Canis lupus familiaris: one gene and its partners. The protein of the gene in region 1 interacts with the protein of each later gene in a biochemical or structural test. Links are inferred from orthologs where the notes say so. Each region holds a gene or a part of one and is shown in the gene's direction. Other genes may lie near its edges. The genes, in order: FGFR1, FGF8 and FGF6.

Region 1 (3,741 bases):
GGTACTCTGGATGGATTCTGATTAATTTCCAAACCAATAACATGCCCGATTCCCACCACTCACTCTTTGCTTCCTAAAATTCACTGCAGGTTGAAGACTTCTGGAGGCCCAGAATGGTGCTGCAGCATTCGTAGCCCGCACCCCCCCCCCCCCCCCCAACCTCCGCTTCCCGGTAAACCACAAAAACCTAAACTCTGTGGCTGGGAACCGTGAGATGGGAGGGAAGGGTCCGAAGGGGGCGTAGACCTTCTCACGGATAAAATACAGCTTGTATTTATTGACTGTTAACTATGTGGCAGGCCCTCTCTTCATCCTCAACTCTAATGAAAAGCGCTATTATCCCCCCTTTTAGATGAGATGAGAAAACTGAGATTCGGAGCGAGAAGAGTCATTTCCCCAAGGCACGCAGTCAGTGCGACTCCAAGGCCGGTGCTGGCAGGGACACCCTCGGGACCACGGCGTCGCCCCCCCTCCCCCCCCTCCCCCCTCCGCCCCCCGCTCCTGTGTCCGCCGCCTGGACCCCGGGCGCCCAGCGGGCGGGGCTCCGAGGCCAGGCCCGCGCGCCCCGGACTCAGACTGCGGGGAAGCTGCCGCCGAGCGCCGCGCCGCCGAGCCCGCTCCCCGCGGTCGGGGGCCGCGGCTGGAACTACAAGGCCCAGCAGGCAGCAGCAGGGGGAGGAGGCGGGGGTGGGACTAGCGCGGGTGGGAGTGAGCGCGAGCCCTCGCGCCTCGCCGGCGCACAGCGCTCGGAGCGCTCCTGCGGGCACTGGTGCGGCGGCCTGGGCGGCGGGCGGCGGGCGGCGGGCGGCGAGCGGGAGCCCGGAGTCCGGTCCGGCGCGCTGCGGCCGGGGAGCCCGGGCCGTGCCCGAAGCCGGGCGGCGGCGTCCCGACCCGACCCGACCCGACTCCGCTTAGCGCATTGCGGCGACCTCGCCTTCCCCGGCCGCGAGCGCGCGCCGCAGCTGGAAAAGCCGCGGAAACCCAGGACTTTCCGCCGGTGCGAGGGGCGCACAGTCCCAGGGCTGCAGTCGGGCGCGCCGCGGGGCCGGGGCCCCCGCCGGGCGATGGAGCCCGGGCTGCGAGAAGCGTGAGGCGCCGCCGCCCGGTTCTGGAGAGGGGGCCGCAGGGTCTGGAGACCCCGGGCGGCGGACGGGAGCCCTCCCCCCGCCCCGCCTCCGGGGCACCAGCCTCGGCTCCATTGTTCCCGCCCGGGCCGGAGGCGCTGAGCCTCGAGCGCCGGCCGCGGGGCTCTCGCGGCTCCGCCAGGACCCGAGCGGAGCCCGGGGGCGGCGGGCCGGAGCCGGGGCCGCGGGCGCCCGCCCGCCCGCCCGAGCCACGGCGGACTCTCCAGCGGCGGAACCGCAGCGCCGAGTGAGGTAAGAGCCGCGGCGCCCGCAGATCCGGGGCGGGCTTGGCGTCCGAGCGGCCCCCGGCGCTGGAGCCTCCCGGCTGCGTGCTTCCCCGCCGCAGCCCGGGCGAGTCCGGCGCCTCCCTCCGGTCGTTACCCGCTGCCTGCGCCTCCCGACCCCCTCCCCGGCGCTCCGCGCCCCCCTTTTGTCTCCCCTCCCGGCTCGCGTCGCCTCCTGCGCCCCCTCCCCGCGCTCGTCCCGCAGCTCCTCCTGCCGCCCAACTTTTCCGCCAACTCGCGCCGGGGAGCTGGCGAGGCGGCGGCGGCGGCGAGTCCTGGGAGCGACCCGGCCCGGGCGAGGGCGAGGGCGAGGGCGAGGGCGGCGGCGGCCCGCGGTGTCCTCGGACCGAGGTGGGGAGGGCGCGAGCGGGCAGCGGTGGGGGGACTGCGTGTGCGTGTGTGTGCTGCATTCCGGCCCATCTCCTTCTAGTCCGCCAGTGGGGACTCCCCCCAATCCAGCAGGTAGCTGTGCGTGGGACGCTAAAGCCCCGGGGTCTTTCTAAGTCTTCCTCCACCTCGAGGGAAGTCTGGGGTCGCGCTTGGGGGTGGGCGGAGAGGGCCGAGAAGGGGGAAGGAAGAGGAGGGGTAGGTTAGCTTCTCCTGGAATAGGTTTTAAGGAGGTGTCGTCACCAAATGGCTGAATCTGCTATTGCAGAGAGCGAGAAAGGAATTCCCTTTTCCAGAGGGGGTTATCTTCTACTGAGTGGATCTCAGAAAGGGTCGGAAGTTTGTGGAAGGGAGGGCGCCCAGCGGGTGATGTTAAGCCCCATTATGGGGTCGCGGGGGGGGAGGGGAACGTTCGGTTCCAAGCTGGTTCGAGGAGGTGGGGGAAGGGATGAGGGTTTGGCCGGTGCGGTGCACTCGGCCGCGCTGCATGTTGCTTCTCTGGCTCAGACCCTCTGCCCACCCCGCTCCCGCCTCCCGTTATGTGTGGGGTTGGGAACAGAGGAACCCTCGTTTGCAGAGAAATTTATTGACATTGCGGATGGATGGAGTTCGTTGAGCACATAACCTATGAAGGCAGCCAGACCCCCTCGGGCGGGGGTGGCGGGGGTGGTGGTGAAGCTTCCTTCTCCTTTCTGGGCCCAGAAAAAAAAAAAAAATTTCTGCGGTATCTTCCTCCCCTAACACTTTTTCCCCCCATTTTCCAGATGTAGCCGCCGCATCTGGTTTCGTTTCACCCCACACCGCAGCCCCATTAACATTTCCCTCCCTTCCCCCTCACCCACATTAAAACTGGGATCCTTCCACTTGTCCTTACCACCTCCCTCCCTCAACATTTTTTGAGACTGAAGTTGAGGCGTTGGGATTTGCGGAGAAAAGAAAGTTACCCTGGGTCCCAAGTTATTTAGGATCTGAGGGTGGCGGCGCTCTCTCGATAGTGCCGGAAGAAGGCATCGTAGGAGATGGGGCCGGGGGGGGAGGGGGGGGGCTCTAGGGGGGTTGGCACTTGGCGAACGGGGCATGTGCTGGAGGTGGCCTCGTGGGTTGTGATTTGACCCAGAACTGGCTCTGATGGAAGTTTCTGGAACCAGAGCATTGCTTTTTCCGCCCCTTGGGTTGTCGCTGTAGCCGCCGGAGCGTCTGGCCCGGCCCGGCCCGGAGTCGCCGTCGGGTCTCTGGCCACCCGCTGGTGGCCTCCTGCTCGCCTTTCCACCCTCCCCGAGCGAGCCGGGGCGCAGCTGCGGGGGACGCGCGAGGGGCGCGGATGCTCTTGCCGCCGGGGGCTCTCCCTGTGCGTTTGAAGGGAGTTAGTGGGCCGCGGCCCCTGGAAGCTAACGTGGGACAATCTGCTTCTTAACGGCTCCAGGTTTGAAAGCGGGCATTGCATCGTTGGGGGTTCTTGTGGGTTTGTTTTCGGTTTTTGTGTTTTGGTTATATCCTTTGAGGTAGGAAGGCACCTTATGGTCCAAGTTGCGCGAGGGCGGGGAGAGCCGGTCCCTCTCACCCTCTCTTTACCAGTCTCTTTCAAATTGAAAACACTTCTCTGGTTTCCTCCTTTGGGCGGTAGTTTTGGAGGCTGTAATGAAATCGCACTTTCTCTAGACATGGTAATTAAGGTGACTGTTTCCTCCGCAGATGTGCCCTGCCCTTTGCACCTCCGGACCAGAGCTTTTTTTGGAATACCGTCTAAACCGTAGAATCTTAGCCTTGAGACTGTTTAGCAGAAAGTGGCCATTTTTCCTGCTTGGCCCAGGTCCCCGGTTCCATCTCTGAGGCTTTAAAAACTAAGTAGCAGGGCCCCCGGGGGACGAGCCTCTGTCTAGCTAATTACCCCCAAGCCTGGGTCATCTCCCTTCCTTTCAGTGACCAAAGGGGAGACCCATTGCCTT
Region 2 (3,741 bases), on another chromosome or scaffold:
ATCTTTCGGCCCCCTCTGCTGCAGCTTTGGGAGGGCCGCAGCGACCACGGGGCCTGCCAGGGACCTCTAGGCTCCCCCACATAGGTGCTCCTGGTTCCTCTCAGGCTTCAGGCTAGCGTGTGGGACGGAGGCAGGGGTGATGCTGATAATGGAGGGGACATTTCTCGCTCTTAGGGTCTTCTTGGAGACGGAGTGAGACAGGAGAGACCCGCGAGAAGGGTTATTCGGCAGAAAGGTCGGGGTCGGTCCGGGTCGCAGACGCACTCACTGCCGGGCCGCCGGGGAGCCGCACAGCCACTCACTCTCGCGTTGGCGGCCGCCTCCGGGGGCATGCACGGCTGAAGCACACAGTAGGTGGCTCACGCACCCGCCGCCCAGCCTGCGCACCCCGCGCACCCCGCGGGCCAGGAAGCCCCAGCCCGAGCCGCCCCCCATCCCCGCGGGTCCAGACCCCTAGAGCGCGCGAGGGGTCAGCCCGGGGATGGGGGGAGGCGCCCCCACTGGCCGCCCCCCGCCCCCCCCGCGGTCCCCAGACCCCTCCCCTAGCCCAGACCCCCCAATCCCAGACCCGCGGGCCGCCCCGCCCCGGCCCGCCCCGCCCCCGCCCCGGGCTGCGTCCCGGCCCCAGCTCCCAGCCGGGGGCTGCGGGCTCCGGCCGCCCGCCCCGCGCTCCCCCCTCGCGCCCGGTGCGGCGCCCCCCGCCCCCACCCCTCCCCCTCCCTTCCCACCTACCCACCCACCCTGCCGGCCCGTTACCCTCCCGCCCGCTCCGGCTCCTGAGCAGCCAGCGGCCACCGGCTCCGGCAGCGGCGCAGAGCCACTCGGCGCGGCGAGCTCGACATTCCACGGGACCCGCGGAGCCGCGTCCGGCCCGCCGCCCGCCCCCCCGTGCTCCAGCCGTCCTCGGCCGCCGCCGCCCTCGGCTCATCCCTAGCGGCCGCCCGCGGGCCGGCGTGATCCCGCCGGGCTCTCGGTGCTCCCCGGGCCGCGCGCCATGGGCAGCCCCCGCTCGGCGCTGAGCTGCCTGTGAGTACGGCCGCCGCCCCCGCGTCCCCGCCCGGCCCCGCCGCCGCGCCCTCTCCGCTCACCCGCGCCCTCTCTCTCCCGCCCGCTTTTGTCTCCCACAGGCTGTTGCACTTGCTGGTCCTCTGCCTCCAAGCCCAGGTAAGGCGCACTGCGCGGCGGCGGGGCCCGGGCGGGCCGGCGGGGGCCGCGGGTTGGCGAGGTCGGGCGGGGGCCCGAGGACCGACCCTGCGGCCGGCGCGGCGGGGCTGGGAGGATCCCTCGGGATCCAGCCCCGATTCCCCTAGGAGGGAGTTAGGGAACAGAGAGGGAGCGCCCTGCCTAAGGTCACACAGCTGGTGTGCGGCGAGGCTCGAACGCGGGCTTTCGGGCTCCAGCGCTGTCTCCCACGCAGCCTGGCCGGGTTGGGAGTGGATGGGGAGCTCTAGGAGCACCCACATGTGGCTGCCGGGGAAGGGGTGCGAGCGGGGTCCCGGAGCGTTCGTTGTCACAAGTCCCGGTGACTGCTGCAGGGACTCTCTCCGCGGCTCGGCTCTCGGGGGAGACTTGTGGCGGGTCTGGCCGAAAGATCAGGTGCCTAGGCTCTCTGCGCTCGGAACATTTGCTCCGCAAATTTGTCTTTATAAATGTCAGGGATTGGGCAGCGCTGCCTCCCTACTAACGAGCGCCCTGCTTTTCTAGGAAGGCGTGTGGGCGCCGGGGGTGGGGTGGGGGTGCGGGCCGCCGCCGGGCAGGGAGCTTGGTTCCCTGATCCCGGCCGGCTGGGGGTCCCAGGGGGCTTCGCAACAGGTAGGTCCAGATCGTTCTGGGCTCATCCTTGCTAGGCTGGGTCTGCCTGACTTTCCTGGCTTGGGTGTTGTGGCCTGAGCTGGCAGGTTGGGGGGACACCGCAGCCCCTGCTGGCTGTCTGGGGCAGTGGAGGTGCGTGCAGGGCGATGGGGGCCGCTGGGGGCCCCTGGGCAGAGTAGCATTATAATGGCGTGTTGTGTATTTTTCAATTTCCTAAAGGTAACTGTTCAGTCCTCACCTAATTTTACACAGCATGTGAGGGAGCAGAGCCTGGTGACGGATCAGCTCAGTCGCCGCCTCATCCGGACCTACCAGCTCTACAGCCGCACCAGCGGGAAGCACGTGCAGGTCCTGGCCAACAAGCGCATCAACGCCATGGCAGAAGACGGGGACCCCTTCGGTAAGGCGAGCTGCGCCCGGCAGGGTAGAGGTAGCTTGTGGAACATGCCCCCTTCCCCTGGCTGGCCTGCTTTGATGGGACCTGCAGGCCCCATCTGTGCTGGCCAGAGGCCTCTCCAGGCTCCCCAGCTCAGAAGGGAAGGAGTTAAGGCAAAGAAGCCTGGTGGGGGTCAGCTGGAGAGAAGAGGGCTGGGGAAGGGACCTTGGGGAGTACTTGGCCCACAGGTGCCCCTTCCCTGCCCAGCAGATGAATGAATCCAGGAGTCTCCCTTTCCACCTCCCCCATTCACACACCCCTCCCCAGCTGCAGGTGGAGACAGGGGGTCTGCGGGAGGGGCCCCAGGTTTAAGGGAAGCTCTTGAAAGAGGATATGTCGCCAGGGTCCACAAAAGGAGAGAGCTAGGAAGGAGAAGAGAGAAAAATTGCCCCAACCTTTCCAGCTTGGACAGGGGGTGCCATGAACCTTTAAGTATTTTGATCAGAAGGGCCAGCCGCACATAGGGACTTGGCTGGGAAAGGTGTCTCCACTCCACTGACCCAGGAACCTAGGTGGTGGTCGGAGCGGGGCGCCAGGCTCCTGCGGGGTGCTGAGTCCAGGGAGCTACCGCGGGCAGAGAGGCGGAGGACTGATTGATTTCTAAAACATTCAATATTCCTGCCTTGAAACAAGGCCAATTTCCAGAGTCCTGGATGTACCAAGAGAAAAAGCAAGCCCTCTGGGCGGCTGGTGTTGTTTTTAGAGAGCGATTATTGTGAGTTTAAAAACCTTTAAATAATGACCAAGTTAAACAACCATGAAAGGAGAGGGGAAGACTCTATTAAAATGTAATAAAAAGGTGAGGCATTTTAAGAGCTAAGAAGAAAAATGAAGAATGATATAAAACAGAAAAAGAACGAGCCTTTTTTCAGATGTGGAGTTTGAAAGGAGTTGCAAGTCTGTAAATGTTAAAAAAGAGGTTCAAGATTGTTCTCTATGAATCTCTGGAGAGACCCCCGCGTCTGGCAGAGCGATTAAAACTCTTCTTACTTTCACCTTTTTTAACATTTCCTGAATACTTTCTCCTCTTCTCGAGCCAGTTTGGGGGATCGAGTATGTCTCACTGCATTTTTTCTGCATCGACGTAGCTGACTTCCCTTCAAAGCTGGAGAAGGAGACATAATTTTCCCGGGATAAATCTGTCACTGGGGTGGAAGAATAGGTTTGAAAATGTTAAGCTTTCCAAAAGCCCTGTCGGGAAAGCCGCTGTAAACTGCGGCCCCAGCTCCCCAGATCCACCAGGAAGGGGATTGGGGGCTCTCTGGGGTGGGGGTGGGGGGCGGCCTGCCCGGTGGCCGAGGTCCCCTGCTGGGCTGGCAGGGCCAGCCTGCCGTCCCTTTGTCCCTCCAGACCGGCTGCTTGCTGCCCTTCCCAGCTTCCAAGGAAAGGGAACGGATGCTTAGCTTCTCCTGGGGTTGCTTCACTGGAGCAAATGGTCCAGCATCCTTGGGTTTAGAGAGGGAAGGAGAGGCTAAGCTGGCCATGGGGGAGCT
Region 3 (3,741 bases), on another chromosome or scaffold:
GGAGGGAGGTGAATCATTTTGGGCCATTGAAATAATTCTATGATGTACTCTTAGCACAGAATGAGCTCAATAGACTCTGTGGGCCAGCCTGGTCATCTATCTTCTACTACAGGCAATCCTGTGGGGGAGTTAAAAGCACAGGCTTTGGATTCAGGCCAACTATAGATATTCTGGCTTTGCCACTTGTTAGCTATGGTAACTCAGGCCAGTCACTGAAGTTCTCTATACCTTAGCTTATCTATAAAATGGAAATACTATCAATTGGATGCCAAGGACAAGCCCAGGTAGAAAAATGGCAAGTGGGCTATGTCAGGTGCAACTTCCACCTCATTGACTGGGTGAATGTCATAGCCAGAACAGCAAGCAGAAGCCTGACCTAGCCCTCTCTTCCTTGACAATCCCAAAGCTCCTGGGGCCACCTCCCTACCTCCCACCAGCAAATCTCTGTTCTCTCCTGTTTAAAGGGCTCAGCTTTCAGTGTCCCCCAAGCCTACCTTGCCATGAACCACCATGAGCTCTTTCCATGAAAAGGTCTCTAGGGTAGCCCATAGGCCATGACCATTGCCCACCACCAAAGTTTCCCTATCACTGTCTTTACCCTTTGCCCTCTAAATAAGCAAGCCAGCAGCACTGCCAGGCGAAGAACTTTTGCCCGGTTTGGGTTGTGGGTAGCCTCTTGCCTCCCTCTTCCCCTGGGCTCCCAGCCAAATCCTCCCTCCCTCAGAGATGCTCTCTGCTCCCTTCATTCCTGCCTCATAGCTGGAATGACAGTGGCTCCCAGAATCCCTGAGGTGTGGGGAGGGTGATGGGGGTCTGGGGAGGCAGCCAGGCCCAGGAGCAGGTTAATGTTACAGCCTTGGATAAATGAGCTGGGCCAGTTGACGTCAGGGTGATGATGGGTGGAGGGGAGGGCCAGGCTGCTGAACTATAAAGATAGGTCAAATCAAATATAATCAACTTGGGACGGAGCAAGCGGGCGAGCTAGAAACAGTCCCCAAGCCATGGTCCCTACCAGCCGCGGCTCAGCCTGGGTCCCTCTGCTCCCGACCCGAGTGCCCAAAGCAGGCTTTGGTTTCATGTCAGCAGCCTTCATCTGCCTTCCAAAAATAAGCCCCTGCCGCCATGCTGAGGGGAGAAAAACAAGAAGGGCGGTATTTTTAGGGCCATTAATTCTGACCACGTGCCTGAGAGGCAAGGTGGATGGCCCTGGGACAGAGGCTGTTCATCACTATGTCCCGGGGAGCAGGACGCCTTCAGGGCACGCTGTGGGCTCTCGTCTTCCTAGGCGTCCTAGTGGGCATGGTGGTGCCCTTGCCTGCAGGTACCCACGCCAACGGCACACTGCTGGACTCCAGGGGCTGGGGCACTCTGCTGTCAAGGTCTCGAGCCGGGCTAGCTGGAGAGATTGCCGGGGTGAATTGGGAGAGTGGCTATTTGGTGGGGATCAAGCGGCAGAGGAGGCTCTACTGCAACGTGGGCATCGGCTTTCACCTCCAGGTGCCCCCCGACGGCCGGATCAGCGGGACCCACGAGGAGAACCCCTACAGTGAGTGCCAGCTGCAGCCAGTTGGGAAGCTGGGGGCTTGGGCTCAAGCAAGACTAAAAGACGATGGGGACTTGCTCTGGTGCATGGGCTCCTATTATAATGGGGAGAGAACCGTGATTCCCTACTTGGATGCTCATAAACATAGTCACCTCTCCCAGACTCACTGGGACCCTGCCTAGTTGCAGGCTTAATATGCTGAGGTCCAAGCATTCTGGTGTCCTTTGCCATCACCCCTTGGAGCCCCAGTGGCACCAATTAGCATTACAGACACACACCTGTGGCTGTAGAAGGCCACAGGGAACCATCAGCCGGGAAGCCATAAGGCAAGGGTGGTGAGAGTAAATGAGGGCAGCAGGACCAGATTAAACCCAGGCTGATTTTTACTCAGCTTCCCTCTTTGAGAAGAAAAGGCAAGTGATCTGCAAAATTTCCCTGCTGAAACACATCTTTCTTTTTTATTCCAACCTCCCCAGCTTCCTCGTCCTACAAGTTGATGGGTTGCTGCATAGATAGACTCCCACCCAAGAGAGGATGGGGGCTGCAGGATCCAGGCAAGCCATCAGCTTCCATGCGCTGCAGTGTTTGCAAGTTCAGAGGAGCTGAGATTTGTTGAAACATGTAGAGTATCTCCTTTATTAAAAAAAACCAATAGGCATTCCTTTTTCTACTCCAGGCAAGGACCTCATGTGATTAAGTCAGTGAAAGCTAATCTTCTGTAGATATGCTGCAAGCCCTGGCTCTGATGTCAGAACCCTCCTTGCAGAACTGGACCTTTGACAGTATAGTGACAGGACGTGCCGAGTCCAAAGTGAGATCAGGCATAGAGGTGATAAGGGTCTGGCTTTCTAGGAGCAGAGGACAGACTTAGATGCCCTTGTGGCATTGCCTCTAGATCAACATCCCACTCTGCTCTGCATAAGCCCTGGGTAACGCCCCCTGCTTTCTTTGTCAGGCCTGCTGGAGATTTCCACAGTGGAGCGGGGTGTGGTGAGTCTCTTTGGAGTGAAAAGTGCCCTCTTCGTTGCCATGAACAGTAAAGGCAGATTATACACAACGGTGAGTCCATTGGGCTGGGGGATCTCCAGGTTGTATGAGGGCTACAGCTTGCACAGTTGGAAAAAATACTACAAAAGCTTGAGTAGAGAAGTGAATATCAGTCTAGAATGAGAAGGAAGGGTCCATCACAGTGACAGCCCTGGCAGCTCATGCTTGGTTTGCTCCACAGTTGATTGGCTTCTGCTCTGCACCATGCTTTTCCTGACCTTTCCGTCCTTTGTCATTAAATGGGAATCAGAGCTCAGGAGGCTACTGGTTCTGAAGGAGACCTGCACCCTGACATGAAGCAGTCATCTGGGCTTATGGTCAGGTTTGATTCCCCGAACTGGAGAGGCCCAGAGGAACCAGCCTGTCTCTCAGCCTGGGGTGCTCTGTCCCATGACCCACCTCAGAGAGGTACCTTCCCACCTAGAGTGCAGGAAGAGGAGAAATGGAGACTCTCTTCCCCACCTTCACTGGTGTATTGAAATTTTACTTTAAGATTTTAAGTCCTCTGACCTCTGCTCCCATAGGCTGGAGAAGCATCCTCCTATTCCACCCTCTGGGCTGGCACCTCACCTCCAGCTCCCTCCCCCACACAGATCACCCAGGGGAGGGCAAATTCAAGCTCTTTTGTAAACGCAGCCAACCCCTAAGCATATTTACCAAAATCTCTGCTCTCTTTGACACCCAGTAGTCCTGGGGCTCTCCTCCTATGATTCAGCTTATTCCAAGATAGGGACTGGGAAAACATCCCTATGAAGTTGAAGAAACTGGGAGTTCTTTGACAGAAATAAGAAGGCTAAAAAAGGTAGACCTCTGAACAATTATTAAGGAATACCAGAGTTATTTATGGGAAGGGCGTGGAGTGCTGTTCTACTTCTCCTTGGACACAGACTGAGCATCAGGAAATGAGGAGAGATCTAGGATTGGTGCCAGGTTCCGGGAGGCCGAGGGGTCTGCTACATACCCAAAGGGGGTACTCAGATAGCTTCTTCCCTGTAATCTTTAGTGCTGACACTAAATCTGGGTTGGTTTGCATGGAGACAAGGCATGGGTTAAAAGTGGGCATCTGAAGAGGAAATAGCTGGAGAATAGATGGTGCCAGGAACCAGAACTTGGGTCCCAGTCTGAACACCAGATGCACTGCTGCCATGGGA

Evidence for each region.
Region 2: the proteins of FGFR1 (region 1) and FGF8 interact in a biophysical measurement, tested with the Homo sapiens proteins (2 studies listed by BioGRID and IntAct, with this or other methods). The link is inferred for Canis lupus familiaris from reciprocal best matches to the Homo sapiens genes FGFR1 and FGF8.
Region 3: the proteins of FGFR1 (region 1) and FGF6 interact in a biophysical measurement, tested with the Homo sapiens proteins (2 studies listed by BioGRID and IntAct, with this or other methods). The link is inferred for Canis lupus familiaris from reciprocal best matches to the Homo sapiens genes FGFR1 and FGF6.

The regions. Positions count from the first base shown.
Region 1 is NC_049237.1:27,766,339-27,770,079, forward strand, and holds the start of FGFR1 (fibroblast growth factor receptor 1), read left to right. Parts: upstream 1-1,287; 5' UTR 1,288-1,376; intron 1,377-1,741; exon of another isoform or gene 1,742-1,759; intron 1,760-1,760; exon of another isoform or gene 1,761-1,870; intron 1,871-2,984; exon of another isoform or gene 2,985-3,218; intron 3,219-3,741. UniProt on the Homo sapiens protein: Tyrosine-protein kinase that acts as a cell-surface receptor for fibroblast growth factors and plays an essential role in the regulation of embryonic development, cell proliferation, differentiation and migration.
Region 2 is NC_049249.1:14,551,689-14,555,429, reverse strand, and holds the start of FGF8 (fibroblast growth factor 8), read left to right. Parts: upstream 1-994; coding exon 995-1,026; intron 1,027-1,127; coding exon 1,128-1,164; intron 1,165-2,031; coding exon 2,032-2,212; intron 2,213-3,741. UniProt on the Homo sapiens protein: Plays an important role in the regulation of embryonic development, cell proliferation, cell differentiation and cell migration. Required for normal brain, eye, ear and limb development during embryogenesis.
Region 3 is NC_049248.1:5,649,369-5,653,109, reverse strand, and holds the start of FGF6 (fibroblast growth factor 6), read left to right. Parts: upstream 1-972; 5' UTR 973-1,200; coding exon 1,201-1,546; intron 1,547-2,498; coding exon 2,499-2,602; intron 2,603-3,741. UniProt on the Homo sapiens protein: Plays an important role in the regulation of cell proliferation, cell differentiation, angiogenesis and myogenesis, and is required for normal muscle regeneration.